Pelodiscus sinensis: one gene and its partners. The protein of the gene in region 2 interacts with the protein of the main gene of each other region in a pairwise test. Links are inferred from orthologs where the notes say so. Each region holds a gene or a part of one and is shown on either strand. Other genes may lie near its edges. The genes, in order: PPP1R37, BEND7, PSMF1 and EAF1.

Evidence for each region.
Region 1: the proteins of BEND7 (region 2) and PPP1R37 interact in binary tests that used the Homo sapiens proteins (3 or more experiments, as listed by UniProt). The two-hybrid records come from large-scale screens. The link is inferred for Pelodiscus sinensis from reciprocal best matches to the Homo sapiens genes BEND7 and PPP1R37.
Region 3: the proteins of BEND7 (region 2) and PSMF1 interact in a two-hybrid assay, tested with the Homo sapiens proteins (2 studies listed by BioGRID and IntAct). The two-hybrid records come from large-scale screens. The link is inferred for Pelodiscus sinensis from reciprocal best matches to the Homo sapiens genes BEND7 and PSMF1.
Region 4: the proteins of BEND7 (region 2) and EAF1 interact in binary tests that used the Homo sapiens proteins (3 or more experiments, as listed by UniProt). The two-hybrid records come from large-scale screens. The link is inferred for Pelodiscus sinensis from reciprocal best matches to the Homo sapiens genes BEND7 and EAF1.

The regions. Positions count from the first base shown.
Region 1 is NW_027465849.1:7,336,495-7,344,394, reverse strand, and holds the start of PPP1R37 (protein phosphatase 1 regulatory subunit 37), read left to right. Parts: upstream 1-4,899; 5' UTR 4,900-5,513; coding exon 5,514-6,075; intron 6,076-7,900. UniProt on the Homo sapiens protein: Inhibits phosphatase activity of protein phosphatase 1 (PP1) complexes.
Region 2 is NC_134711.1:14,014,477-14,022,052, reverse strand, and holds the start of BEND7 (BEN domain-containing protein 7), read left to right. Parts: upstream 1-4,571; 5' UTR 4,572-5,171; coding exon 5,172-5,232; intron 5,233-7,576.
Region 3 is NC_134728.1:2,474,272-2,481,139, reverse strand, and holds the start of PSMF1 (proteasome inhibitor PI31 subunit), read right to left. Parts: upstream 3,019-6,868; 5' UTR 2,913-3,018; intron 2,875-2,912; exon of another isoform or gene 2,734-2,874; intron 1-2,733. UniProt on the Homo sapiens protein: Plays an important role in control of proteasome function. Inhibits the hydrolysis of protein and peptide substrates by the 20S proteasome. Also inhibits the activation of the proteasome by the proteasome regulatory proteins PA700 and PA28.
Region 4 is NC_134712.1:181,744,148-181,751,420, forward strand, and holds the start of EAF1 (ELL-associated factor 1), read left to right. Parts: upstream 1-4,267; 5' UTR 4,268-4,298; coding exon 4,299-4,401; intron 4,402-7,273. Other genes in the region: tRNA N(3)-cytidine methyltransferase METTL6, read right to left, coding at 2,735-3,016. UniProt on the Homo sapiens protein: Acts as a transcriptional transactivator of ELL and ELL2 elongation activities.

The DNA of each region.
Region 1 (7,900 bases), on a different chromosome or scaffold from region 2:
GTATGGGTGGCCCCGCCCCCGGGTGCCCGGCAGCCCCAAAAGGTTGGGGTCCACTGATCTGTCTGATTTCATTCACAGGCCTTAATGTGCTAGGCTCTGTGCGCACAGAACGTGCAACAGACAGCCCCCGCCCGGAAGAGCTCACTATCTATCCAGATGAGGGAGGGAGACTGAGGCAAGGGGAGGGGAAAGGTTTTGCCAAATTCACAGTCCAGTGAGTGGCAGGGCAGGGAACACACCCCAGGGCTGCAGTCCAGAGCTCTACCCACTAGGCTGTGCTGCTTCTCAACCCAAAGGGAGGAAAGGAAGACAAACCTAGGGGGCACTGACGTCACATGGGTTACGCACAGTTGGCCCCGCTCGTGCTTCTCAAGATGGAACGAGATGGGGGTTGGGGTTGGCTCCTGATGACTGGAGCTGAGGCTGGGCCTCCCTCCCCGGATGAGTGGAGAACGGTGGGAGCAAAGCGAGGGGAACAGCCGTACTGGCGGCCATGTCCCAGCCCTATGGTGCGCAGGGCTGCCCAGTGTGGGGAGGGATCGGCAGCACTGATGGGGCAGCTGCCTGTTCTGTGATTTGCTGCGGAGCAGCCTCCAACGTGGGGCTGGGAACCCAGTGCCCCTGTGCCTCAGGGCTGGACGGGCCCCGTACATGGGCGCAAACCCCGGTGGGTTGGCAGCTGGTGACCACGCTGGCCCTTTATGACAGTGGAGGCTCAGCGGTGACAGGTTTAGCTGCGGTCCCAGGTGAAAGGAAAGAGGGATACAGGGAGCATGCGACTAGGCGTGTGGCCTGTTGGGAGACACAAGGGCCGCCTGGGAGCAGCATTCAGCAAAGAGCGATTCCAGGAACAGTAGTATAGGGCTGTCACGTCACGTCACTTTATGACAGGCTAAGTGCAAACCTGGGTTGTGCTGAGCATATAGGAAGAGACGCTGGGGAGGAAAGACAAAACAGGCTGCACAGTAGGGTACATAACCCCATTCTTTAGGTAAATAACCCCATTTTTTAGGGCCGTAGTACCGGAAACCCCCAGAAGAGGGTGGCTTTTAATACTCCTTCCCTCTTTTGCAACTCCCTGTATTGAATTTACAAGGAGGAAAGTGTGAGAGAAGGGATGTGATTTAACTCCTGTGTCAGACCAAGTCTGTCCCCTAGGTGTGGGAATTGTGGGTACTGATGGGGGTGCTGCAGCTCCCCCAGTTTTTGTGCAGGGTCCTGGCCACCAGGCTGTGCTCAGAGTCCCTGGTGCACCTGGGAGCCTGGCTGCAGGACTCTCCTTCCTGGAGCACTGTTCCCAGCCCCACATGTGGACCCTGGCTGCAACTGGACTTGCACCCACAGCTCTGTTCACAGCTCCTGGACTCTGTCTGTGGGGTCCTGGCTGCTCCTGGCCCTGCACTGAGGCTCTGTTCCTGGCCTCGCACATATGGCCCAAGACATGGTCCCTTTACCCCTCTGCATCCCCCACCCCCCAAGAGCTACAGGCCTGCTCCTGGCCCCAACTCTGGGAGGTGGAGGACACAGACAGGAGTAAGGGGGTGGGGTGAGGTAAAAAGTCTGGGGTGGGCCCCACTGGCTTTCAGGAGACCCGCTATAAAAATGTTCCAGTTTGTCCCACAATGCACACGCCCACGTTAAGGCCTGCAAAATCGAATGCTGAAGGCAGCTCCAGTTGGCGCCGGTGCTCCGCACAGTCTGGAGGAGGAAGGGACGCCGACGGGAGCATCTGGTCCCATTGGCTTCCCACTGTGAAAAAGAAGCCAAGCTCGGATTAAGGTACGCCGACTCCAGCCACGTATTTTATGTAGCTGAAGTCGCGTACCTGCAGCTGACCTTCTGGCTCCAGTGTAGACCTGGCCTGAGTCCTGCAATGCCGTGGGGCCAGGGTTCACTGGCTCTGGATGGTGCTTGTCATGGCAGCTTGCTTTCTCTTTAGCAGAATGAAGTTGTGATTTGAGGCCAAAAACGTGCTGGGTCTAGCCGGATCCTTGTGCCAAACGTATATTTTCCATCTGCTGCTCTAGAAGCCTGTTTTTTTTTTTTCTGGTCAGCTGGATTAGAAAGTTTATTTTCTTTATTGATGGTTTATTGATTGATGGCTTGTGACCAAGAATGGGTAAGATCCAGCTGGCTGTGTAGGTGCTAAATAGGTGGTTTTCTGTGGGGTGCATTGAGATCTGCATTTTTCAAATTGCAAAATACCAAGTGTGAGCAGGATCTGAAGGAATGTGTCCCTTATAGCTAGTTGGAATGGGAGAGAAACCCTGGGTGTGTTTATTACGTAAACACCGCTTGCTCCTGCTTTGCTTAGATTTGCTAGTCAGCAGATGGAGTGGTATTGCGCTCATTGTAATCCACGTCATTTGTAGCCCAACACCCATTGGCTACGTCTAGACTGGCATGATTTTCCGCAAATGCTTTTAACGGAAAAGTTTTCCGTTAAAAACATTTGTGGAAAAGAGCATCTAGATCGGCACGGATGCTTTTCTGCAAAAAAACCCCGATTGCCATTTTCGCGATCGGGGCTTTTTTGCGCAAAGCAAATCTGAGCTGTCAAAAGCTTTGCACAAAAGGACTTTTGCCCGAACGGGAGCAGCATAGTATTTCCGCAAGAAGCACTGATTTCAGACAGTAGGAAGTCAGTGTTCTTGTGGAAATTCAAGCGGCCAGTGTAGATAGCTGGCAAGTTTAGTCTTGCTAGTCTAAACACAGCCATTATGTTTTCCAGGTATCATAAGGGTGTCATAAGGAGGAGGGAGAAAACTTGTTCATCTTGGCCTCTGAGGATAGAACAAGAAGCAATGGGCTTAAACTGCAGGAAGGGAGGTTTAGATTGGACATTAGGAAAAAGTTCCTACCTGTCAGGGTGGTCAAACACTGGAATAAATTGCCCAGGGAGGATGTGGAATCTCCATCTCTGGAGATATTGAAGAGTAGGTTAGATAAATGTCTATCAAGGATGGTCTAGACAGTGCTGGGTCCTGCCATGAGGGCAGGGGACTGGACTCAATGACCTTTCGAGGTCCCTTCCAGTCCTAGTATTCTATGATTCTATGTTTATACGAAATGCAGGGGGAGCTGAAATATGGTTACTGATGTTTTTAGTTTTGGAGGACTCCAGAAAAGCAGGGCTGTGCTAAATTGTTCCACATGAAAGAGCTCACAGCAGAAAGATTCTTGCAAATGTAGGGGCTTGAGTGTCAGAGCTCTGAGGGTAAGAGAAGGTTATCCTGGTCAGGAGGTGATGTGGTTTCCCCTGCCTGGACTGGTTTGACCTAATTCCTCCCACTGTTCAAAGAGCAGAGCTAAATAGACATCAGTAGGTGCCTCTTTTCTTATATTAATTGTGTTGGAGTTTAAAGACTAAGGGGGTAGCCTTGTCCTGACTGCTCATTATATAGAGGGTTTTTTTTAGGCTCTAAGACCTCGTTTCTCAAACTGTGGGTCACGAGCAACTTAGAGGAGGGTCCAGTATCAGAAAGTTTGAGAACCTCTGCTCTAAAGTTACGTCTACACAGCAGCATTATTTTGGAATAACATCCGTTATCCCGAAATAACTATGTGAGCGTCTACACAGCTAACCTGTTCTTTCAAAAAAAAAATTCGAAATAATGGGCAGCTTATTTTGGCCTTTGTAAACCTCATTTCATGAGGAATAACGCCTGTTTCGAAACAGCTATTTTGTTCCACTGCTACTATTTCAAAATAGCTCCTCCCCAAGGCATTCAAAATAATTACTCCCCATGTACAGATTGACATACACTGGCCACACACACAGAGGCTATACACAATAGAAATGTAAAGTGGACACACACAGCAGCAGAGACACACACACTGGCCACACACAGCAGAGATGCACACAACACACACGGATACACACACAGGCTGTACACACCAGACACACACACACTGGCTACACACAACACACATGGATACACCCACCCACACCAGAGACGCACACAACACACATGGATATACACCCACCCACACCAGAGATGCACACCACACACATGGATACACACACCCACACCAGAGACACACACCACACACATGGATACACACACCCACACCAGAGACACACACAACACACATGGATATACACACCCACACCACAGACACACACTGGCTACACACAATACACATGGATACACACACCACACCCACACCAGAGATGCACACCACACACATGGATACACACACCACACCCACACCAGAGATGCACACCACACACATGGATACACACCCACACCCACACACTGGCTACACACCACACACATGGATACACACCCACACACCCACACACCGGCTACACACAACACACATGGATACACACACCCACACCAGAGATGCACACAACACACATGGATACACACACCCACACCAGACACACACACACTGGCTACACACAACACACATGGACACACACACCCACACCAGACACACACACACTGGCTACACACAACACACATGGATACACACACCCACACCAGACACACACACACTGGCTACACACAACACACATGGACACCCACACCCACACCAGAGATGCACACAACACACATGGATACACACACCCACACCAGAGATGCACACAACACACATGGATACACACACCCACACCAGACACACACACACTGGCTACACACAACACACATGGACACACACAGACACACACACACTAGCTACACACAGCACACATGGACACACACTCACACAGGTTGCACACACCAGACACGCGCAGCAGGGACGCGCACGCGCACATGGACACGCCCCCCACTTAGGGACGCCGGGGCGGGGCCTCGTGACATGTGGCGGGTCCCAGGGCGACGCAGCCTGCGCTCGGCCCCGCCCCCGCCGCGGACTTAAAGGGCCAGCAGCCCGGCGGGGGCGGGCCAGGCTGTTTGGGGCGCATCACGTGAAGCTGACTATTTGTCCGCGGCCTCTTTCATTAGTAGCAGCAGATTCGCGCCTTGTTTTCGAGCCCCAGCGCGCGTCCGGCGCCTAGGGAGTAGGCAGCCGCCTCAGGGGGGCGCATCCTCAGCTTCCCCTCCCCCCCCGGAACGCGCCCCCAGTGCCGCGCCGAAAGTGCCGCGCCGAAGCCTCAGCCGCCTTCGCCCGGTGCTGGCGGGCTGGCCGCCGCCGGGTGCGTGCGACGACTCGCAGCGGCTGATTCGCTACGGAGACGACCCTTTACCGGAGCGTCCCGCGGCGGCCGGCCGGCCCTGCCCGCGAGGCCAGGCGGCGGGATCTTCCCCTCCTCGGTGCCGCGGCGGCGGGCGGGGCCCCGCGCCGGGCGGGCGGCCGCCGCCCGTGGCGAAAGTGCGGGCCGCGGATGGGCAGGCCGCTGGCGCACTCCGCGGGCGGCGGCTTCTCTCGGGTCCGCCGCGCCAGACCGCGGCTGCGCTCGGCGGCGGTTCCCCGGCGCGCGGCCTCCCCTCGCGGCCCAGCCCTCAGCCGGGCCTGCGCGGGCGGGGCGGGGGCGCCCGCGGAGTGATGCCGCCCGGGCCCCCATGAGGCGGGGAGCCATGGAGCGCGCGCCGCGCCCCCCCCGGCAGCCGGACGCGGAGCCCTGCGCGGGCGCGGAGGAGGCGGGGGGCGGCCGAGCGGGGCTGCAGCCCCCGGGGGGGGCGGGCTTGGCTCGCCTGGAGGAGGCCGGGCGCCCCCCCCCGCCGCCGCCCAGCTCGCAGGCGGCGGGGGGAGGGGCCGCCCCTGCCGCCCGGGGGGGCTCGGAGCGGGGAGCGGAGCCGTCGGAGCGGGGAGAGACTCTGGCCGGGAGCCACCCGCTGCAGGAAGCCGCCTCGTGCCCGCCTGCGGAGCGGAGCAGCGCGGCCGCCGACAGAGGATGCCCGGAGGAGGAGGAGGAGGAGACCTCCCTGCCGCAGGGGAAGCCGGCCTCGCCGCCGTCCCGCCGCGGTGCTTTGGACTCCGACGCCCCCAGCCCGCAGGGCGACCCGCGCGTGGAGCCGCCGTGTGAAGAGGGCAAGCTGAAGAATGGAGCAAAGCGGGTCACGTTCCCTTCCGACGAGGACATCGTGTCTGGGTCTGTGGAACCGAAGGATCCCTGGCGACATGGTAAACTTTGCAATTCACTCGCGCTCTTCTTCTCAGGCTGGTTTGTGCAAATGGTATATTGCCTGAATCGTCCTTAAAACACAACACAGAGACAAGCACCTTAAACAAAATACAGGGCTATGTAGCACTTTATGTAGCACTTTGAAGACTAACAAGATGGTTTATTAACCATCTTGTTAGTCTTCAATTCACTCGCGCTCTTCTTCTCAGGCTGGTTTGTGCAAATGGTATATTGCCCGAATCGTCCTTAAAACACAACACAGAGACAAGCACCTTAAACAAAATACAGGGCTATGTAGCACTTTATGTAGCACTTTGAAGACTAACAAGATGGTTTATTAACCATCTTGTTAGTCTTCAATTCACTCGCGCTCTTCTTCTCAGGCTGGTTTGTGCAAATGGTATATTGCCCGAATCGTCCTTAAAACACAACACAGAGACAAGCACCTTAAACAAAATACAGGACTATGTAGCACTTTATGTAGCACTTTGAAGACTAACAAGATGGTTAATAAACCATCTTGTTAGTTTTTAAAGTGCTACATAGTCCTGTATTTTGTTTCAGCTACACCAGACTAACACGGCTACATTTCTATCACTAAGCACCTTAAAGACTAACAAAACACGTCGATGAGATCGTGAGCTGTCCTGGGTGCAACCCACTTCTTCAGATGACCGGAGAAAGAAGTGGGTTATGCCCATGACCGCTCATGATACCAACATGTTTTGTTAGTCTTTAAGGTGCTACTAGTCTACTTGTTGTTTTTTTAAGTTTTTCCTGTTACAGACTAACTTGGCTACCCCTCTGAAGCTTCTGAATAGTCCTGTTAACTTCAGTGAGGATCTGTCCGCGTGTTAAAGGGAATTGTTCCCAAATGAAGCAGAACACTAAATTGCTTATGTTTGTGGTATAACAGGAAACTCGGAGATGACTTTTCTATAAAATGTTTAAATATGCTTTAAACAGAACTAAGCAGTTTGTTTCAGATTTATACAGCTGTACTACCCATTTGGTCCTTTGAGTGTACACAGGATCTTTATAAAAATTAGTCAATAGTTAAGAGGAGTTTTGACTAACATTAAAGACTAACAGATTTATTTGGCCATAAGTTTTCGTGGGCAAAGACCTACTTTGACTTTGTGGTTCTTTACCCATGAAAACTTATGTCCAAATAAATCAGTTAGTCTTTAAGGTGCCACAGGACTCGTTGTTTTTGCAGATAAAGACTAACAAGGCTACCCAATCAATAATTAGAATCCAGTGACAAGAACTGAAAGCTAAACTGATATTTATTAAAACTTAAAATACAATGATGGTCCTGTAGCACCTTAGAGACTAACAAAATATATGAGTAGTGTCCGGAGCTTTTGTGGGCACAGCTCACGTCTTCAGATCCATATTTGTTGTCTGAAGAGGTGTGTTGTGCCCACGAAAGCTCATGATAATATTTATATATTATTATTAGTCTCTAAGGTGCTGCAGGACCTTTGTTGTTGAAGTTTTTTTTAATTTCAGGCCAACATGGCTACTCCTCTGTGATATTTATTAGTTATAATATGCCGGCCTTTTAATGTAAATGGCCATTCTGCACTGTTTTAAGCACTTTCCTGATCCAGGTGTCTGTAGGACTGAAGATTTGAAAAAATGTAACTTTGTCAGTAGCACAACTTTTTCACACTTTGTAGTTGTTGAAAATAATACCCTTGTTTAGCAGTCCTCATGTTGTTGTTGTTTTTTTTTCTTCTGATTTTTGCATGACTGACTTAGGAAACAAGCAAACTTGGTCTCCTGGAAATGTAAAGAAATAATGATCTCTCCACTTCG
Region 2 (7,576 bases):
CAGCTGGGCTCTTGTTTGGCTGAATGATCTGACCAGAGCTGAATGATCTCCACACAGTGCTGGGGATGGGATGCACCCCGATGGGAGTTAGGTGGGGATATGAAGGAGCATCAGGGCTGAGGAGATGATGGTGCACATCACAGAGGACAGTGAGAGGGGAGGCACATAAAGGGTCAATGAGGTGACATGTAATTGGCCACTGCAGTGAGCAGCCAGTGCTGGCTGGAAATGAGTGGGGGTTAGAGGGGAGCCTGATGGCCCAGAGCTGGCACACAGTAGAGACTCCACTGATGGACCATCAGTGGGGACTGGCCAGCCTTGCACGCTGCAGCTTTGCCCAACCACCAGTCTTGTACATCCACCCTATCATCAACTACTTGATCCCCACCACTTATCACTGGCCTGTGGTTGGCTGGCTAGCAGGAATTCAAAAAGCAGTAGGACCTACCAGCACTGATGAGAGGGGAGAGACAGAAAATAAGGGACAATTGCAAAGGGGGGGACAGAAGGGGTACTTCAAAGTGGCAGCACTGCACAGTGGCACCACTACTTTGAAACCCCAAGGTGGCATTTCAAAGGCGCAGACGCTGCACAGATGATTTGCAGATCAGCTGTGCGACAGCTGCCCCTTTAAAATGCCACTTCTGTGCTTTTCAAAGGAGCAGCTGGGGAGCCCAGGGGTCAGCTGGGGACTCCCAGTTGATCCCGGATTCCACGCGGAACTTCCCCGGAACCTGGGATCAGCTGGGGAGTCCCCAGCTGATTCTGGGTTCCACATGGAAGTGCCACGGGGAGCCCAGGGTTAGCTAGGGAGTCCATAGCTGACCCCGGGCTCCTAGCAGCATGAAGCATAGCATGGAGCTTGGGGTCAGCGGGGGACTTTGAGTCCCCTGCTGACTCTGGACTCCATGGCTTTGAAATGCACAAGAGCCCCTGCTGGGGACTGTTGTGCATTTCAAAGCAGGCACAGCTGTGTGCGGCCCGGAGTCAGCGGGACTTCCCGCCAGCCCTGGGCTGTACGTGGTGTTCCATATTCCTCCTTGGAACTCTTGTACATTTCAAAGGAGGAATGAAGAAGGCCTATCAACTAGTCAATGGACATTCCATTGACTAGTCAATTAACCGCATTTTAATATCCTTAGTTGGTCTAGTTGTGATCAAGGTAGTTTTATTGTGTGGTTTGGTTTGAACTGCTCTGTGTAAATCTATGCCTCCCCTCCACATTTACTATCTCGCATTGTGCCCAGAAACTTTTCTCTGTGTTTTGTTTTCCTTACTTGCTCTGTAACATCTAGCAATCAAGTATGCCTTATCAAGTCTATCTTTTGTTTTCTAATAAAAATCACTTTTTTAAGGTGATAATTTGATTCTTGAGTCCTGAAAGGTCTGTTTGTCTGTGTATTTGCATGCCTCTGACTGAGAGGTCAGCTACCAGAGACTGCAGCTTATTTTTCTATTTTCTTTTTTCAAGCTCTTTTGGGAGCTTAGAGTACCCCGGGGGTGGGTTCAAGTGTTCACCTCCAGTTTTAGGGATAAAAAATAACTTGATGGTGGCAGTTTGTTTACTTCTCAGAGCCAGGGAATCTGTGACTCTGGGAAGTTTTGGTAACCAGTGCCTGTAGAGGCAAGGTTTTTAAGCTCTCTCGAGGGCCCTCACCTTCTGCACTTGGAGTGCCAGAGTGGGGAACAGCTCTGACAAAGGGTCACATGCCCCTTAATGCCATTGGGAGGCAAGCGACGAGCTGCCCGCAGGCAGATCCTGATTTGTCCAACCGCTCTAGGCCCTGCGCTTGGGAGACCCTACAGGGCCCAGGCAATCTGGAGCACTGGTGGGGTATGATGCCAGCAGCAGTGGTTGCTCCCCCCGCAGCAGTAGAAAGTAGAGCAACCTGCCACCAGCCTATACTGCTCCCCCCTTGGGGAAGGGGAAGGGGAAGGGAAGGGTTGGAACTGCTCCCCATACTCATCCGCAGTGTGAAGTGGAGGGACATGTGTGGAAGCCAGATGAGTGGAGTGGGCTGGATCACTCCACTTCCCATGCATTCACTTGTGAATGCAGTGTGTGTGTAAACCAGGGAGAGCTTCTCTTCTGAAGAACTAGGTAAGCTCAAAAGCCTGTCTTTCTCCAGCAGAGGTTCATCCAATAAAAGATACTACCTCATCAACCTTGTCTCTTTAATACTACAGTACACAGCTTTTAGCGACATGGCTGTGTCACTACAGCTGTGTCACTAAAAATCAGGCAGTATAGCCAGTGTTTATTGGCTCTTTTGCTGACAAAATGCTTCCACAGCCAGCAAGTAGCATTAACTTTATTGGCAGGACAAAGTGCTGTTCACACAGGCACTTGTTGGAAAAACTTGTCTTTCATGGACAAGAGGGTCATTTAACACCTCTGAATGACAAAAAGTTTGTTGTTCAGTTGTCAGGATAGACTTAGCCTTAGACCATGATACACTACAAAATTATGTCAATTTAATTGATGCTGCCACACAGCTACTACAGTTACTAAATCACGTGGGCTACGTCTACACTGGCATGATTTTCCGAAAATGCTTTTAACGCAAAAGTTTTCCATTAAGAGCATTTTCGGAAAAGCACGTCTAGATTGGCAGGATGCTTTTCCGCAAAAGCACTTTTTGCGGAAAAGCATCCGTGGCCAATCTAGACGCGGTTTTCCGCAAAAAAGCCCCAATAGCCATTTTCGCGATCAGGGCTTTTTTGCGGAAAACACTACTGTGCTGTTTACACTGGCCCTTTTGCGCAAAAGTCTTTTGGAAAAAGACTTTTGCCCGAACGGGAGCAGCATAGTATTTCTGCAAGAACACTGATGATCTTACATGAGGTCGTCAGTGTTCTTGCGGAAATTCAAGCAGCCAGTGTAGACATCTGGCAAGTTTTTCCGCAAAATCACATGATTTTGCGGAAAAACTTGCCAGTCTAGACACAGCTGTGGATTCTTGCATCAGTGATGCATGTTCTCACCAGGAATGCTTGTATCCATTGTATTGTCAGTGTGGGGCATTGTCGGACAGCTCCAGAAAGCCAGTGATAGTCATCATAAGCAATTTGTTGATATAATTACATCGTGACTCTGCACTGCTCAGGGAGGTGCTGTTATTAAATGGGTGTAGAAACATTTACATCAGTAGAAGCCAAATTTAAGTGACGAACACTTCCACAGCTAATTTGAGGCAAGGCAGGTTACATTAACCTACCCCGTAGCGTAGACCAGGCCAAATGCACTTAAAGTGACTTAACCTCCAGTGTGGATCCACTGGTAGCCAGTACTGGCATAGTTGTATCCCCATTAGGATGGAGGCATAATAACTATTCTGGTTTAAAAACCCAGCCCTCACCGAAATAGTTGTTCTGGTACAAATATGTATGCAGATGAGGCCTAAAAATGAAAATCAAGCAGAAGCATTCCTTGCTTTTAATTGAAGCCTGGTGTCCAGCAATGTTCCCGTAAAGATTTCCCATCTATGGCGGAATAAATTTTGTCCTGTGCACCAAGACATATGCAGATGTGTACCACCAACAGAAACACATGCTGCTGACTGCGGTCAGCTGTGGGCACTCTGCCAATCAACTGGGTGGCTGTCCAAGTGCTCTAGGGCTGTGTCTAGACTGGCAAGTTTCTCCACAAAAGCAGCTGCTACATTGCCAGCTGTCTACATTGGCTGCTTGAATTTCCGCAAGAGCACTGATTTCCTACTGTCTGAAATCAGTGCTCCTTGCGGAAATACTATGCTGCTCCCGTTCAGGCGAAAGCTTTTGCGCAAAAGGGTCAGTGTAGACAGCCCAGATTTGTTTTGCGTAAAAAAGCCCCGATCGTGAAAATGGCGATCGGGGCTTTTTTGCGCAAAAGCGCGTCTAGATTGGCACAGACACTTTTCCGCAAAAAGTGCTTTTGCGGAAAAGCATCCGTGCCAATCTAGACGCTCTTTTCCGCAAATGCTTTTAACGGAAAGCTTTTCCGTTAAAAGCACTGGTGGAAAATCATGCCAGGCTAGACGTAGCCTAGGTGTGTTCTGCTGGTCTGAAAGGGGTTGTCTTTGATCCACAGCCTGAACTTTACTTAAGATGGCAAATCCTTTTAGCAGAGCTGGGGGCATGGCAGGAGGCAGCACCTGACCCTCATTCTAGGCTGCGTGAGGACAGAGCCTGCATCTTCTGCCTTAGCACTGCAGGCCCTAGATTCCCTCCCCTCTCCTGAGGAAGTAGGGTGGGGTGTGCCCCGTGGGCGCACTGCAGGCAGCGCACCCTAGGCTGGGGGAACACGGCCCTGGGGGGGGGGGGACCCAATGCCACCAGTCTGCCTCACTAACACCCAGTTCTGGAGCCAGGCGGCGGCGCTGGCTGGCGCCCTGCGCCTGGGGCAAGCACCCAGCCCGGGGGGCGGCCCGCGGCTCCAGGGGGCCGCGGCAGGCGCCAGCTCGCGCCGCGCGCCTCAGGGGACCGCACAGGGGACGGGTGCACAAAATGGCGCCGCCCTTGCGTTCCCTTCCCCCTCCGAGAGTCAGATCCCGATCCCCCCCCCTCCCCGAGACCTGCCCCGCCCCGCCCGGCCGGCAGCGGAGGGGGAAGAGTCACCTCGCCGCCCTCTCCGTTCACTACCATGAGGCTGAAACCGCTCCCCCTCCCCCCCTCCCTTGGGGCCCGCGGCCGCCGCCGCCGCCTCGGCGTGGCGTGGGGCTGCGGGCCGGCCTCGGGGTGGCGGCCTGCGGGCCAGGCTCCCTCAGCCACCACGGGGCGCGCTGTGGTGCGCGCAAGCTTCCCCCAGCAGGTGGCAGCGGGGTCCCAGGCGCCGCTGAGGCAGCGCCACACGCCCGCCGCCGAGCGCTGCTTCCCTTGGCGGTGGTGGCGGCGGCTCCCGGGAGGCGGCCGGCGAGCTCCCCGCACGCAGCCGGGGCTTCCCCGGCACCTGGCGATCTGCCCCCCGCAAAGTTTGGGGTTGGCCCCGGGAGGTGGGGGAAGGGAGCCCGGAGCCAACTTGTCCCAAATCCCCGCTCCGCAGTTGGAACTGAAATCTCCCAGCCCCGGTTTATTTTTGCTGATTAAAGGGACGGACCTTGGTCCTGCGGCTGGGTGGCTGTATAGCCTCCCACTCGCTCTGTGCCATCCCCTTTCTCCTTCCTTTCTTCCTCCTCCTCCCTCCTGCCCACACCATGGAGTTTACGGAGAGGAAGAGGAGCAGGAAATCCCAAAGCTTTAAACTGATCAACCAAGGTAAAGTGGTGCCGGTGGGGGGTAGCGTGGTGTGTGACTTTTTGTTGTTGTTCATTTGTCTCTCCAAAGGACTTTCGGCTCAACGTAGCTGGCTTTCAAAGGAGAAGAGCAGGGTGTTATGAAATGTATGCTGCTTTCCCTTCCCTCTGTCTCCTTCAGTGTCTTTCTGTCTTTATGATTTAACTCCTTGGATTTGTTTTTAAACCCCCTCCCCAATGACAGCACGGTTTTCAAGGCAGATGGTCTCCAAAATAAAGTTGGATCGTAATTTCCTTGTAAACCCCGAGTTAAAAAAACGAAGCAGGAAATTAGTAAAATAATGGTACTTGGGGAACAGAGAAGAGAGCCCTTTCGGTATTCAACTCCTGTAGGGTTTTTTCCCCTGTTGATTGCGCACATACACGTATTTCAAATAAAACACTAATAGAGGTTGTTTTTCTTTTTTAAAAAGGCAACGCAGCCAATTAATTGTACAGAGATAAGGAAGAATTCCTGTCATGCAACTTGTTCGCTCATTATGTATTTGCTTTACGAAAAGAATAGGGTGATTTAAAAGGGATGGTAAAGACTTGTATTTATGTCGGGGGGAAACAGACCTTTCTGTTTAGATCTAAAAATCGTTGATGGTCATTTTCACAGGTGAGCTTTACAGCCTTAGTGTTTTATTTAGGTGGGGATGTGGACTGCTACTCCCACTGATTAGATCTTTTCCTCTCATTGATTTGACTTCCGTGTTTTAAAGTATTGAACTGAAATATCTCCATGAAAAGCTGTGTGTGTCCAGCATGCTAAGTTCAAGGCAAGTGACTTCTCTGGCATAATGTTACACACTTTTTCTTTAATGTGTCACACTTGGGCACTTTTAGGCATCCCTCTTCAGTCACTGTTGGATGAAAACAAATGGGAAGCAAAGGAATTTAAACATGAAAATAACTTTCGGGAAGCTAATGAAAAATATTCATTATGAGCATTGGACATAACATACTTTCTTAATCTAGAGGAATACTGTACTGTCAGGTCAAAATTGGCCAAAAATTAGTGTAGATTTTATAAAAGCAAGTATTTGCAAACATAAGGTCAGAAGAAATTAATCTGGGATTTAAAGTTCAAAAGGAAACTTTTTGAGAAACAAGTATTCTTCTGCACTGCTTATAGTATAAGCACTAGAACAGTGGTTCTCAATGTGTGGTCCATGGACTCCTGGGGGTCTGCGATAGTACTCTAGGGGGTCCACAGAAAACTTAGGAAAGGAAAAGTAAGGATTGGGCCACCACATGACTGGAGCTTTACGCCAAGTGATCCTCACCTGGGGCGTGCACACACTCTCCCCCCCCCCTTCGTTCCCACAATGGACCCCAAACCTTACTTTTCTTTTCCTTTTCTCTCCCGGGGCTCTGTGCCTGGCCAAGGGCAGAATGCCAGGGCAGGAGCTGCCTTTGGCCTTGAGAGCCCCCTTGCAGTATCCTCTGTGGATGGGCAGGGAATGAAGCAGCACAGATCAAGGGATGTGCTGGTTGCCCCTTCATGCCACTCCCCTTGGAGGTCCATAACATTTTAGCAGATTGAAAAGGGGTCCGTATGCTCGAAAAGGCTGGGAACCACTGTGCTAGAGTATGAGGATCTGAAAGTGAAACTGATTAGTTTGTATTTCCAAGTTGAGAAAACTGTTAGATGTGCAGAATAACTCAAATAGTCAAAAGTAAATTAATATTTTACAAGCATTTAGTCTTGACATGTCATTTGTAACATAGATTAATAATTTTGTAATAATACTTTTAACTATTTTTCACTGGTGATTTAGCTTGTGTTTCACTTGTGGGTTAGCTGTTTTTTGTCTGAGAACCCTTCTAAATTATAGAACACTAACAACACTAAATGCAATTTTGGAAAAAGTGGTGTTTTGATTCAGGGAGAACAGAGAAGATAAAAAATGTATTTTAGCAAAGTAAGATTCAGCTTTTATGTATGTCCCTCCTCATTTCCTATGCAAATTGATTACAAAGATCATTGAGTATAAATAGGTGTTTCCCTGCTACTCAGCTTTTGCTTCCTGCTTGAGTCATTCACTGTCAGAGTTTAATGTTTACTGTGAAGATATTGATAGTGATTTCAAAGCCTTGGACTAGGACATTGCAGACAAAAGAAGGGGGCCAAAGGAGACACCCACTGTATTGACTTATATTATGTAAATTATTGTCATTTTTACTGTATACTGTACACCCTACATCTTCTTTCATCCCACTGAATCTCAAAGCAGTTTGTCATCATAATGAAGTAATTCAGACTACTGTATATATAAAATTGTGTATTCTTCCACTGAAATGCAGAAACTGATACAGCAGTC
Region 3 (6,868 bases), on a different chromosome or scaffold from region 2:
GGGGTGAGGGGTGGAGCTCAGGGGGGAGTGGGAGGTGGAGGTCCTGGGTGCAGGCTCTGGGAGAAAGTTTGGGGGCTGGCGAGGGGAAGAGGGTGCAGGCTCTGGAGGGAGTGGGGTACACAAGTGGGGGAGTGGATAGGGGTGCCCCTCTCTGGTAATGGTTCCTGGAGGAGTGGAGGTTAACTGGGTGCTGCTGCCCCCGTGGTAGCGTGTTCTCCCCCATCCCTCCTGCCACCCTGCCGGCTCCTCCCAGGTATCCCCCAGACTGCCTGCTATCCCTGGGCAAGTTAAAACACTGAAAGGTGGGGACCGGCAGCTCAGTGTGGCTACAGCGGCTTCCGGCTGCTTATTCCCACAGCTGCCCACACGTGCATCCCTGCAGCTGGGGGGCTGTGCACCCTAACCCCGCTGCACTGCCAGTACTGGTGACGCGCCCCCCCCCCCCAAGCATTGTAAATCGCCCAGGGGTAGCAGGTGGGACTGGGTTAGGGTTAGGGAGATGCAGGGCCAGGCGGCAAGGTTTGCTGGAGCCCAGCAATGTTCTCTCTAATTTTTCCATCTGTGTGCAGAATAAACTTTGTCATGTGCACCGCCAATATAAACACTTGCTGCTGACTGTGGGCGCTCTGCTTATCAGCGCGGCACCATTTGAATCTCTCCTGGGTGGCTGCCCAAGTGCTCGGCTTACAGGGAACACTGGGACGCAGCTCCAGGCCAAGAATATTCCTGGTGCGAGGGCACCACAGGGTCATATCACTTCCCCTATGTCCAGGAGAGTGGTGCACCCCTGAGTTATTCATGCAGGAGGTGGCCCCAAATCTGATAGAAGGGTCTCCCTGACTTTCCCCTTCTGTTGTCCCCAAGTCAATCTGGGAATTCTCCGTCAGAGCCGGAGAAACTTTATCCAGCATCAAAGCACAGGCTCCCCAAAGATGCTTTTAAAGGCTGTTTTTAGTCTGAGGAGCTGAGGGTAAAAAAAATCTGACATTTTAGTTTAATCACATTTGGCAATGGGGAAAACTCAGTTGTAGGCAAAAGAGGTGGAAAGTCAGGTTGCACTTGACTTCCTGGTGGGAAAACCTGAAACTTCCATTGTCTGTTGGTCAGGCTGATGTAGTTACTGTTTGACTTGTCAGGGGGGTTGAACTAATTCTGGCACCCAGATTTCGGTTTAATTGAGCCAGGTGGGCATGGGCCCTGATCCTGCAAACACTTCACTGAGCACTCTCAGAAATCTAGTGAAGCTTGTCATAAGTGTTGGCAGGATCTGGGCCTTTTTACGGAGTTTTCCAGTAGGGATGTACGTGACTAGTTGACTCCCTGATAAGCATGCACTTACTGGGTAGTCAAGTAGTGAATCAACTAGTCGCTCTTCCCTCCCACCCCATGCTGCCTCTATCAGAGAGAGACAGCGAGGCGGGGGGAGCAGGAGTCAGTGCTGGGGAGCCGAATTTTAAGCCGGCTCCCTCCAGCACCATCTCGGGGGCAGATGGGGCAGAGGAGGCAGAAGCGTAGCAGGGACTGGGTACGAGCCGGGAATCAGCTGGCTTGCGCCTGGTCCCTGCTGTGCCTATGCTTTTTAAACGTATTAAGAGCCTGGCAGCTCTTAATGAATTTTAAAAGGCAGAGCTGCAGTGGGGTTAGCTCCCAGGGCCGGCTCTGCAGTTTCCCCCATCAACGGAAATTCCATCAACTACTCAATTAGCTGATTACCCGCAATTGAACATCCCTAGTTTCCAGTTATGTTCAGTATGGATACTGGGGAGAATACCTAGTAACAGTCCCTATTAAAACTAACAAAACACCCCAAGGCTGTGTCTACACTGGCGCGATCTTGTGCCACAGCAGCCCCTCTTGTGCAAAAACTTGCTGCCTGTCTACACTGGCCGCGTGTTCTTGCGCAAGTAAACTGACGTTCTAATGGATGAAATCAGGGCTTCTTGCACCAGAACTCTGACACTCCCGCTCAGGAATAAGCCCTTTTGCGCAACTGTTCTTGCGCAAGAGGCCAGTGCAGACAGGCAACATGAATTTCTTGCGCAAGAAAGCCCTATGGTTAAAATGGCCACCGGAGCTTTCTTGTGCAAGAGAGCGTCTACACTGGCACGGATGCTCCTGTGCAAAAGCACAGGCTAGTGTAGACGCTCTCTTCTGGAAGAGTTCTTGCACAAGAAGCTGCCAGTGTAGATGTAGCTAGTATTCTTGCCAGGGAATGGATCAGAGGATTTCCTGCCAGGGGACAGAATTACAAAAGAGCACCTTTGATTCACCACGCTCTGATGCTAAGCTAACAGGAAGGAGTGATCCGGCGGATCAGGACATACGTTAGGGAGAACAGGTGGGTGAGGTAATATCTGTTATTGGCCCAGCTTCTGAGGCTGTGTACATGGGAGCAGGGGCGGGTTATTCCAGGAAGAAGTGACTATTTTACAATTGTCTTAGGCCCTACTGCTGCAAACACTTCTGGGGTGTTGCGAAATAAGTTCCCACATATGTGTGAGCAAGACCAGGGCCTTACTGCTCCAAGGTGCCACCCACATATCCCGCTTCATTGGATGGGACTTTCACAAGTAGTTGTGAACCTGCTGTTGCTGGCAAGCTGGGGTGGAGAGGTGGTTTAAGGGAGGGACAATGAAGCCCGTCCCCTCAGTCCCATTGGGAAGCTCTGGCTCCATTACAAACCCAGCTGATCTGAGCTTGGAGCAGCAGGCAGAGCCCTGGAATGCTACTGACCTCACATCAGTGCCTGTCCAGATGAACGCCTCTGAAATCAAGGCACGTGCTCGGGCGGAAAACTGACGGTGCGAGCAGAGAATCAGGTCCTCTTTGTATGAAGAGTAACGGGTACCCTGGTGAATGCAGCAGGACCTCCTCCTGGTGCAGAATCAGACCCTGCCTGGCCTGTTACTGACCTTTTCAGCAGCTCTCCCCCATGCCTGAAATGACCCGGTTCTGCCCTGCCCAGGGGAGGTGACGGGAACTCAGCAGATGCAGCTTCTGCTGCTTACCCCGAGGTTGCCGAGTGATGATGTTTGTAGAGTTCTGAGTTCCAGGTTCTGAGCTGTCCGGGGATGGAGAGTGGAGCTGTGCGTGCTGTTTTCTGCCGGGGCTCTCAGACTGGGGGTCACGAGGTTATTATGGGTTAGGTTGCAAGAAAGCCCTGCCAGCCTCCACCCCCAAGCCTTGCTTCTTTATCATTTCTAACGGCCATACCTAGGGGTCACACTCAGAGACTTGCCATGTGAAAGGGGCCACGGATACTGACATTTGAGAACCACGTACCTGACAAGGAGGCGGTTTGCTCCCGAGCAGTTCAGCCCAGAGGAACAGGAAGCCAGCTGTAGCGGAGTCCTGCCGTCTCGAAAGTCGTATTTATTCACTTCCAGCGCTGTGGGGCTACCACACTCCAGTCGGGGGGGAGAGGGCTGTCTACATAGCAATCAAAGGTGTGATTGGAGCATGGCTGGGCGAAGGGTGTTAAATGTTGGTTAATTGACTAGTCGATGAACCTCATTAATTCTTATTGGTTACTCGACTATTCTATAGGCCCTGGGGGCAGGGCTGGCAGCCAGTGCACGCCGGCCCCACTCCCGAGGAGCCCCCTCCACTCTGCAATGCTGCCTCTGGATCAGAGGGAGCAGCATGGGGTGCTAGGTGGGAGCAGTTTAAAATCCAGCTCCCCTCACAGACTGGCTACCTGTCACCCTGCGTGGCAGCAGTGCCCGCCTAGCTCCTAATACACTTTAAATGCAGACCCACAGCGGGGATAGGTCCCAGACCCAGCGTGATTCAAGACTGAGCCGGGCTGCTGGCCAGCCTGCTAAAAAATTAACTGGCAGGGGAGGGGGAGAGAAACGTGTGTAGTCTATACCAGTAACCTATAAGCTTTTGCTTATCGGTTAATCGACTGTGCTATTACATCCCTAGGCTGGGCAGGCTGGCACAACTAAGAGCAGGGAAGGCATGGCAGAATGGGTTTCAGAGCAGGCTGTACAAGTACAGCCAGGGGCCCCGGGTACGTGCTTGCATTGCAAGCCTGCGCCGGAACCTGTGCATCTGTGGATCTTCACTGCTGCTTTTAGCCATGCCTGCTGGATTAAAGCGAGTACCATCCCAGAGCTGCAATAATGCAGTGTAGATGCACCCTGGAATTCTCCTGGGAGCAGAAATAGTCTCCCATGTGAAGGAAATTCTGCAAAGGACCTTTCCTGACAAATCAAATCCCGCCTGAAATAAATCAAATGCCCCTATTCCACGGTGGGGCTCTGGAGAGGGGGACTGGGCAGGAAAGTGTCTCTCTCAGCATGTGCCCTCCAGTGTGTGTGAAATCACAGGCCAGCAGGAGGCTGGTGGAAATGCTGGCAAGAGGATGGTTGTGGTACATTGCTGTATTTGGAAGGAGACAACTTCTCTGCAGCAAGGAACGGCACTCTCTTGTGACCGGAGATCTAACACTGTCCTCAATTCATCTCCCCACCACCTGCAAACCCCAGGAAGCAGATCAGAGTGATTGGTTGGTCCCTGTGTCCAGGATAAAGGGCAGAGCTATAGCACCCAGAATTCCCAGGAAGTCTCCCATCCAAGTACTAACCAGGCCCGACCCTGCTTAGCTTCCAACATCACACAAGATCCGGCATGTTCAGGGTGGTACAGTCATGGGCTCACCAGGCCTGGTTCTGGACAGGCAATTGTTCCAGGAATTACAAATGCCCACTAGAGGGCCCTCTGTGTCTTCCAATAAGACACTGGGCCGAATGGGGCTGCACTTGCTAGACTGAATGTCTGACCCTGGAGGTGAGTCTCCGTTTCAAGGCTCAAGGAAACGTGTACCCCCAAGGAGAGGCATGCCTGGCTCCTCCACCAGGGTAACCCCCTGCCTGCCTCCGATGCAGAAAGGCAGGCGAGGGGGAGCCCCCGCTGCAGCCCCCGAACTTCCTCCCCCCTTGTCGAGGGAGAAGAGGCAGCAGGTTAGAGACACAGAAAGAGGGCCTTGCAAAGATCAGGTTTCCCAGCCTAAATGCTCCCAAGGTTTGGGGGCAGGAGGCAGGTTCAGTCCTATCCCTGTAGGGTCCAACTGCTTTGCCAGATCTGCTGCCTCCACTGTACTAGCCCCCCTCCCCACTCCTTCTCAGCTTGCTTTGCGCACAACTTTGCCAGCGCCCCGGCAGGCAGGCGCAACCCCAGTTTTGTAGTTGGGTAAACTGAGGCACAGACCTCAGGGGATTTGGTCCTGGTTGTGCAGTGTGTCAGAACCCAGACGTCCCGCCCAGGGGAGCGGGGACAGTCAGAGTGAAATAGGGATGAGGAGCAGGGCTGAGTGCTGGGCCAGCGGCTCCGTGGAAGGAGGTCGGCCTGCCTGCACGGAAGGCCCCATGCTGGGCCAGGAGAACTCAAAAGAAGGGTGTTGGTAGGAAGAGGTACAACAGACAGCTCTGAGGGGTCGGGGAAGGTGTCTCCTTCTGCCAGCAGGGGGCAGAAGACACCCGAATAAAACAAAACCCCCTACCAAAACAAGCGGCTCCATTGCATGGGCATCTCCCCCTGGGTCACGTGCCGTCAAGGTGCTGCGTGTGCTATGGGCCCGCACTTGGGTTCTGCCGTGAGGAGCGTGGGGAAAGAAACCAGACTGAGGTGAGCACTGGCTGCTTCGGCCCCCGCGCTAGGGCAGACAGGGAGAGACCAGGGCTGTGTCTACACTCGCGGCTTCTCGCGCCAGAAATATGCAAATGAGGCTAAGCGTGGAATATCGCCGAGCCTCATTGCGTACCTAACGAGCCGCCATTTTCGCAGAAGAGGCTCTTGCGCCAGAAGGAGCTGTCTACACGGCCCCTTCTTGCGCCACAAAACCCTCTTGCGATCACTTTTCAGGAAGAACGGCGTTGCGCAAGAGGGGTTTTGTGGCGCAAGAAGGGGCCGTGTAGACAGCTCCTTCTGGCGCAAGAGCCTCTTCTGCGAAAATGGCGGCTCGTTAGGTACGCAGACGAGGCTCGGCAATATTCCACGCTCAGCCTCATTTGCATATTTCTGGCGCAAGAAGCCGCGAGTGTGGCCATAGCCTAAGTGCCCTTTGGCTGGTTTTTTTGTCATTAGGATGTGGAATGTAGCTGGCAGCCACTGTGGATTTTTTAGTTTGCCCCCGACGCACGGTGACCCTCCCACCGGCAAGTATCCCCACCTAACAAGCCATTCTCATTGCAGGCCAGTCACTAGCGTGCGGGAAAACCCCTTCCGTGGTCCTAGGCTCCTCTTTTACCCCAGTGGCAGCCCCCGGGCGTGGGGAGAGTCAGGGGCCTCCCCTTACTCCAGGTTCCAGCCCAGGGCCCTAGGTAGCAGCCACTAGTGGGCTCCTGTCCTTATCCCCACAGAATAGCAGCCTCTCCCAGGGCCACTTCCCCGATAGCTCCCATAGCACCTTTTCCTGGCACCTTGGTGACGCCTCTCCTGCTTGTAGCCTTCAGTTCCCCTCCACGCTGCACCTCCCCCGTCTCCCGTCAGTCACCCTTCTCCTTCCCCCTCCTCCCCTGAGGGGAAGCCTTTTACAGTAATTACTCGTTTAACACGTGCCCACTTAACATGTTTTCACGATAGCGCGATTTTTTGAGGGGAACGTTTTTTGAATAACACGACCGTCCCTGAAATAACACCGTTTCCCCAGCCGGCCTGTCGCCGACAGCTGCGCAGGGCTTCCCCCGCCTCCCTGCAAAGCGGCGGAGGGTTCGCCGCTCGCCGCGCCATTCCCCGGCGACCCCCCCCTCGTCAGACGCACGGACGCAGTGTGGGTCCCGGAAGACCCGTCACAGCGGCATACTGTACTCCCAACCCAATCCTCCTTCCCTCTCCTCTCCGTCCCTTCCCCAGAGCCAAACCT
Region 4 (7,273 bases), on a different chromosome or scaffold from region 2:
CGAAGATACCACTTTTCACACTTTAAAGTTAGGATCAGCATTTCAATTATCCGTCTAAAATCTGATGGAACCTGTCACTCGCAAAGGGCACAGCAAAGTATAGGCTTTCATTTAGATCACAGTAAGTTTCTCTTTAGAAACTACTAAAAACTCATTATTGATCTACTCATTTCAGCAGTGATCAAATTAGCAGAAACCCTCACCATTCGTGGTATATACAAATGGCGAAATTTGCAAATACTGGGAGCTATGGACCCTGGCTCCTGGGGGAAGCTCCCCGTGGCTCCCTAACAGGAAACTCACCATGGCTCCCGGCACCTCAGCGAGTTCCCCACAGCTCTTGATCACACCATCCCCTTCAGGTCAGGAATGGAGACCCCATGAATATGCGGAACCCCAGAGAGCAATTCCGCGAATCACGAGGGTCTCCTGTATGCTTTCCTCTATGCCCTGGCCCTTTTGTAAAAAGGGTGAACAAATGCATTTGAATATGATTTTTTTAAATGTATATTTTAATGCTTTGACTATTCTAGATAGTCAACTTTGTAACAGGGTGCAAAATTTTGAGCAACTTGTGTTGGAAAAGAGAGAGAGAGAGAGAGAGAGAGAGAGGATCTTAGATCTAATTTAGGACACTAAGCAAGTGTTCTAGAGCAGTGGTTCCCAAACTGTGGCGTTCAACTCCATAAAGATTGCAGAGCAACATATGGCAGGTCCCAGGTGAGTTGAGGAGAGAGCATCACACTGCCTTACTCAGCTCCCCAGCTCCTCTCCAACCAGGGCCATACTTAGGATTTATGGGGCCCTATACAGTACTATTAAACTGGTGTCTCTATGCCCAACAGCATTTGGGGAGGGAGATTTCTTTAGACACATGGTTTTAAAATCTTCAGCAGCACACTAACATATTTTTATAGAAAATTTTAAACCAAGATCCTGTAGACCAGGGCTACTCAACTTTGGAAGCCTCAGAGGCCACAATAATACAGCACATGCCGAGGGCCGCAACTTAAGTGTCGTTGCTTATACATGCAAATTGCTTCTTTCACACGGGTTGGCATGAATACAAAGCACTTCCCACATTCCCCAGGACTCCCGGCACCTCCTCCCTGGGGGCTAGAAACGCCAGCCCGTCCGCTTGCATCTTTCAATGCTCACCCCACCTGGCAGACGCCTTGCCATTGTGGAGCGTGTTCCCAGTGGAGGTCATGTTCAAAGATTCCCACCTGCAGGCCACGTGTTGAGCCCCGCGTAAACCAAAACTGCACTGCAGGCCGCAAACATACAGGCCATGGGCTGTGTGTTGAGTAGTCGTTCTATAGACTCACACAGTACATTCAGAACCTGACAGTACATACTAGGGATGTGGAAGTTTAACCAGTTAACTGGGAAGCATCACCCTAAATTGGGGGGCAGGAGTAGCTCCCCATCTGTTGTGGGCAGGGAGCTGCTCCAACCCCACCGGGGGCCCATCGTGGACACAGTCGGGGAGCAGTCCCTGTTCATGGGGAGCCCAGGCACCCCACAGGCAGGGACTGTTCCAGCATCCGCAGAAGCCTCTGTCCATGGGGGAGCCAGGCGCCCCACAGGCAGGGGTTGTCCAGAGTAGCCTCTGAGGAGCTCGGGCATCCCACAAGCAGAGCTGCTCTGTGAGGGCTGGGTGTCAGCATCAGCCCCAGCCCATGTGCAGGGGTAGTGAGCTGGCAGATCCAGACCCAGTATGATGCTGGGAGTGGGAGCCCTGTAGGCTGGGGGCTGCGCCAGCCAGGCTGCAGTGGTCCCCAGCCCTGATCTCACTTTAGTCAAATAACCAATTAAATGTTAGGCTAACCTAATGTTTAACTGATTAAGTGGGATTTTACATCTCTAGTATATACCTGGGGTTGGCAAATGCCTATTTAATGGCTTCATTATTATCTGAATGGCTCTTTCACAGGTTCAATGTGCTGCTAGTAGGTCTGACATGCTTTTTCACTTTTAAGTGAACTATATCCTCTATGGAAGAAGTAGAGCCACAGAAGAGGAATAGGAGGAGGCAGTGGGTAGACATTAAGAACCAGTGGTGACCCAAATTTTCAGGTACTCTACACATCTGTGTATTCTAAGTATAGGTAAGGATGGGTCAGTCTCCAAACTCTGCCCCAGCCTCCATTCCTAGCCACAGCTGCTGCTCCTGGCTTCCCCCACAGCCATACCCGTGGTCCAAGCTCCACTCCCACTCCTGGCCCAGCTCTGTCCGATTCCCTCTCCAATCCTAAACCATGTCTGGCTGTAGCCTCAAGGTCCTTTCCCCTTTCCAATGCTGCCCCCAATTTTGCCTTCCACCCAAGCTCCTCTGCTGAGTCAATGATGCAGTAATGTGGGGTAGAGAGAGAGTGTGGACAAATTCGATTACTGGTAAGGGGAGGCACAATAGGAAACGTTTGGGATCCACTGGTCTAGAGAGTGGGTCTGAATGTAAAATACAGATCAATTATAATATATTATTCAAAGATTTTGTAATAGGTTTTGGTTTTTTTAACTTTTGAAACTTTCAGTTGGGTCTTGACGGTGCCTCCTCTTGGAGACAGGGAGGGGAAAACAGGATGAAAGGACCAATCAAAAAACTCTTCAATTTTTTTATATCTTAAAAGTCATGGAAGCTATCAACTCCACAACATTGTGCACTTGGGGTATGTCTACTTCATTAGTAGTATTTGTTCCTTTATTTGTAGAATTAGTGTATATGGCTCACCTCCCGACATGCTTTTAAATCTTCAAACTCCCTAGTTGTCCAATGCCGATCTTTAAAGAAGTTTGTGCTGTTTCTTTTGTAAAACAGATCCCAGTTCTTCTGTGCCTCCTTCTCTAGTTTCAGTTTTTTGAAGTCAGACACCAAAACTTGCTCTCTTGCCAGTTTCTCAGCTTCTTCAGAGCTAAGGGTCCTTGCACTATGCCCTTTCTTTTGGAAAGCATCATCTTCACAAATTGGAGATACTGAATTCACATAATTATCAGATGTATTTTCTTGGGACATCCTGGATTAATCCACAGGAATACAAACACAACAGATTTAAAGTGGTTTTTTCCCCCCTCATGTATTTATTGCCATCTTTCATTTCAGATCAGACAACCTGGAAACATAAGAAACAATGAGAAAAGAATTATAGTTTGCAGTTCCTGTACCAGAGACTCCTCCCCAACCTCTCCCCCCAGGCAGCCGTCCCCCACTTCCTTCCCCAAACCCACCCTGTACCAGAGACCCCCCCGCCCGCCTCCCCAAACAGCCCCTCCCTGTACAGAGACCCCCCCGCCCGCCTCCCCAAACAGCCCCTCCCTGTACAGAGACCCCCCCGCCCGCCTCCCCAAACAGCCCCTCCCTGTACAGAGACCCCCCCGCCCGCCTCCCCAAACAGCCCCTCCCTGTACCAGAGACCCCCCTCGCCCGCCCCCCCAAACAGCCCCTCCCTGTACAGAGACCCCCCCCGCCCGCCTCCCCAAACAGCCCCTCCCTGTACAGAGACCCCCCGCCCGCCTCCCCAAACAGCCCCTCCCTGTACCAGAGACCCCCCTCGCCCGCCCCCCCAAACAGCCCCTCCCTGTACAGAGACCCCCCCGCCCGCCTCCCCAAACAGCCCCTCCCTGTACAGAGACCCCCCCGCCCGCCTCCCCAAACAGCCCCTCCCTGTACCAGAGACCCCCCTCGCCCGCCCCCCCAAACAGCCCCTCCCTGTACAGAGACCCCCCCGCCCGCCTCCCCAAACAGCCCCTCCCTGTACAGACCCCCCCTCGCCCGCCCCCCCAAACAGCCCCTCCCTGTACAGACCCCCCTCGTCCGCCCCCCCAAACAGCCCCTCCCTGTACGAGACCCCCCCCGCCTCCCCAGACAGCCCCTCCCTGTACCAGAGACCCCCCCGCCCGCCTCCCCAAACAGCCCCTCCCTGTACAGACCCCCCCTCGCCCGCCCCCCCAGACAGCCCCTCCCTGTACGAGACCCCCCCCCGCCTCCCCAAACAGCCCCTCCCTGTACAGACCCCCCTCGTCCGCCCCCCCCAAACAGCCCCTCCCTGTACAGACCCCCCCTCGCCCGCCCCCCCAGACAGCCCCTCCCTGTACGAGACCCCCCCCGCCTCCCCAAACAGCCCCTCCCGCTCTCCTAGCGCGGACACCGAGTCTTGCCCCAAACTCCGCCCCCTCTCCCGGTTCCTACCCGCGCGGGGCGGGGCGGGGCGTAGGCCGGGCCGGACGGCTTTGGCGGTGACACGCGGCCCCGGAAGGGAGCGGAGCGGGGCGGGCGGGGGATCCGGCGTGGCGGGGGCATGAACGGCTCGGCGAACCCGCTGCTGGACAAGGAGGAGCACGCGCTGCAGCTGGGCGAGAGCTTCGAGCGGCGGCCCAAGGCCTCGTTCCACACCATCCGCTGTGAGCGCCCCCCCCCTCGCGGGCACCCCGCCCCGCCCCGGGACTCGCCCCGCCCCCGCACCCCCCCCCCCCAGTGTCACGTTCGATTAATCCGCTAATCGAGTAGTCGATGGAATTTCCATCGGGACTGGGCTAGTCGCTCAGGGGGCGCCGCCCTCCCCCGGCGGCTCTTGCCCGATTGGAAGGAAGAGGCGCAGCGGGGACCCTGTGGCGTGGGCGCTGCGTCCATCCCTGCTCCCACCTTCACCCTCGCCTGCCTCTGCCCCTCCGCGGAGACGGTGCTGGGGGAACGGCTTTTAGGTTTGCTGCCCCCAGCACGGCTCCTGCTACCCCCCCCCCCCCATCCCTTGGTGCCTCTGATATAAGCCTAGGCTTTTTCGGTAGTCAACTAGTTGCTTACATTCCTTACCCCCCCCCATGTATCTTCCTCCTTAACCTACCCAGCTCCCCTAAATCCTCTCTGAGCCCTAGCCCCTCACTCTCCAGTTTCCCCTGCCACCACCCCAACTCTTGCGCACACCCCTTACCAGCTCCCCCTCCACTCTCTCTGCTCCCCTTTCCTAGGTTCTTGCCAGTTCTGTGGAAAGCAGCAACTTTCCGTTACAAATTTAGAGGGAGGGGGGGAATAAAGTGAGGTTAATCTGAAAGTAACTCAAAATTATGGGAAGGGGAGAGCGCATGCGCACAGAGGGCAGCGAGCTTCTTAGTGAATGTCAGATCAGATGATGTATCAGTTTAAATATTATACTGTGAAAGATGCAGGACTATGGTTTCACCTGAGAGAGTCTGAAAGAGGGAAACCACAGCCACCCAGTTTCTTAAGATTTATTGAAATGTCTATCAGAATCCTTCAATACAATGTAAAGAGCACAACATGTTGTCCCCTATTCCCTCCAGGAGGAAGCCTCTATCTCTGGATGAGTAATATTTAGCCAGTCTGGAAGATGAGTTTTGAAAGTTTTCAGATGATACCAAGTTTGATAGCTAAGTTTGCAGATACCACAAAGCTGGGAGGGGTTGCAACTGCTTTGGAGGTTAGGGTCATAATTCAAAATGATCTGGACAAATTGGGGAAATGGTCTGAGGTAAACAGGGATGAAGTTTAATAAGGACAAATGCAAAGTGCTCCACTTAGGAAGGAACAATCAGTTTCACACATACAGAATGGGAAGCGACTGCCTAGGAAGGAGTACTGCAGAAAGTGATGTAGGGGTTATAGTGGACCACAAACTAAATATGAGTCAACAGTGTGATGTTGCAAAAAAAGCAAACATGATTCTAGGATGCATTAACAAGTGGGTTGTGAGCAAGACAGGAGAAGTCATTCTTCTGCTCTACTCTGCACTGATTAGGCCTCAGTTGGAATATTGTATCCAGTTCTGGACACCACATTTCAAGACAGATGTGGAGAAATTGGAGAAGGTCCAGAGAAGAGCAACAAGAATGATTAAAGGCCTAGAGAACATGACCTATGAAGGAAGACTGAAAGAACTGAGCTTGTTTAGTTTGTAAAAGAGAAGATTGAGAGGGGACATGATAGCGGTTTGACAAGGTTTCACAAGGAGGAGGGAGAAAAATTGTTCTTCCTGGCCTCTGAGGATAGAACAAGAAGTAATGGGCTTAAACTGCAGCAAGCAAGGTTTAGGTTGGACATTAGGAAAAGTTCCTAACTGTAATGGTGGTTAAACGCTGGAATAAATTGCCTAGGGAGGTTGTGGAATCTCCATCTCTGGAGATATTTAAGAGTAGGTTAGATAAATGTCTTTCAGGGATGGTCTATAGTACTGGGTACTGTCATGAGGGCAGAAGACTGGAGTCGATGACCTCTTGAGGTCCCTTCCAGTCCTAATATCCTATGATTCTATTTTCTCAGAGTGCTTCAAGCTTCTCTGTTGGGGAAAATAGTCTACTTTTGCTCTTTTTTGCCTCTTACTATTAGGGATGTGAATGTTTTATCATTTATGTTTAACTGGTGGGAGCTGGAGCCTGGGAGCCTCTGTAAATGGCAGATAGCCTTATCTAGCAATAACATATTTGAAACAAGTTTTTACTAGGGGGCTACACCCTCTGCTCGCTGCGCTCTCCTACCCCCCTCTCTCTGGCTACTTTTGCTTTGCTTAGAGAGCTTGTTGACGCTGATTATGTCATTTTGTCACCCAGCAGGAGCATTCTGTCATCCAGCAGGAAAATCTTTTTTATATATAGAGAAAGATTTGTAATTCAAAGATTCAAAAATATACCCACCATTACCTCAAATGAGCAAAATTAGGCTCTTCTAGTGATAGAAGTCCTAGAAGTATACAGCTAAAAATACATTGGGGTTGTATCATTCTCACTTGCTTATAAGTCACTTTAAAGGACAATATCTGAAAGGATGAAGACAGTGGATCATATCTTCAGGAGAAACTACAGCTTTTGAAGTATTTAGAATGTAGTCATAGTCTGAAATAGCTTCAGATCAGATTATGCACTTTCTAAACTAGAATATTTTTTGTGACCACTGGACCTGAAAATTTAACCTGGGATCAGTTATACTGATTTTCCCTCCTTCCGGCATACCACTGTAAGATCTTATAGACCAAAATTCTTCTCTCCTTTATAACATCCAAAAACTCATTTTCATCATCTCTTGGCTGTGAGGTTCTATAGTACTTGGACAGTTTTATATGCTTCTTAGCATATATGCAGTGTCTTAGGTGGCACGTGACCAGGATCCATGGCCCCTTCCCCAAGTCTGCCACTGCCGCTGCTGAAACTGACAAGTGACAGAGCAGAGCTGCTGGGGTGCTGCCGGGTTGATCCCGCAACGCCACCGCTCACCCCCCTGTTCAGCTCCAGGCAGCACCCCAGCTGCTCTGCTCCGCCCTGCCGC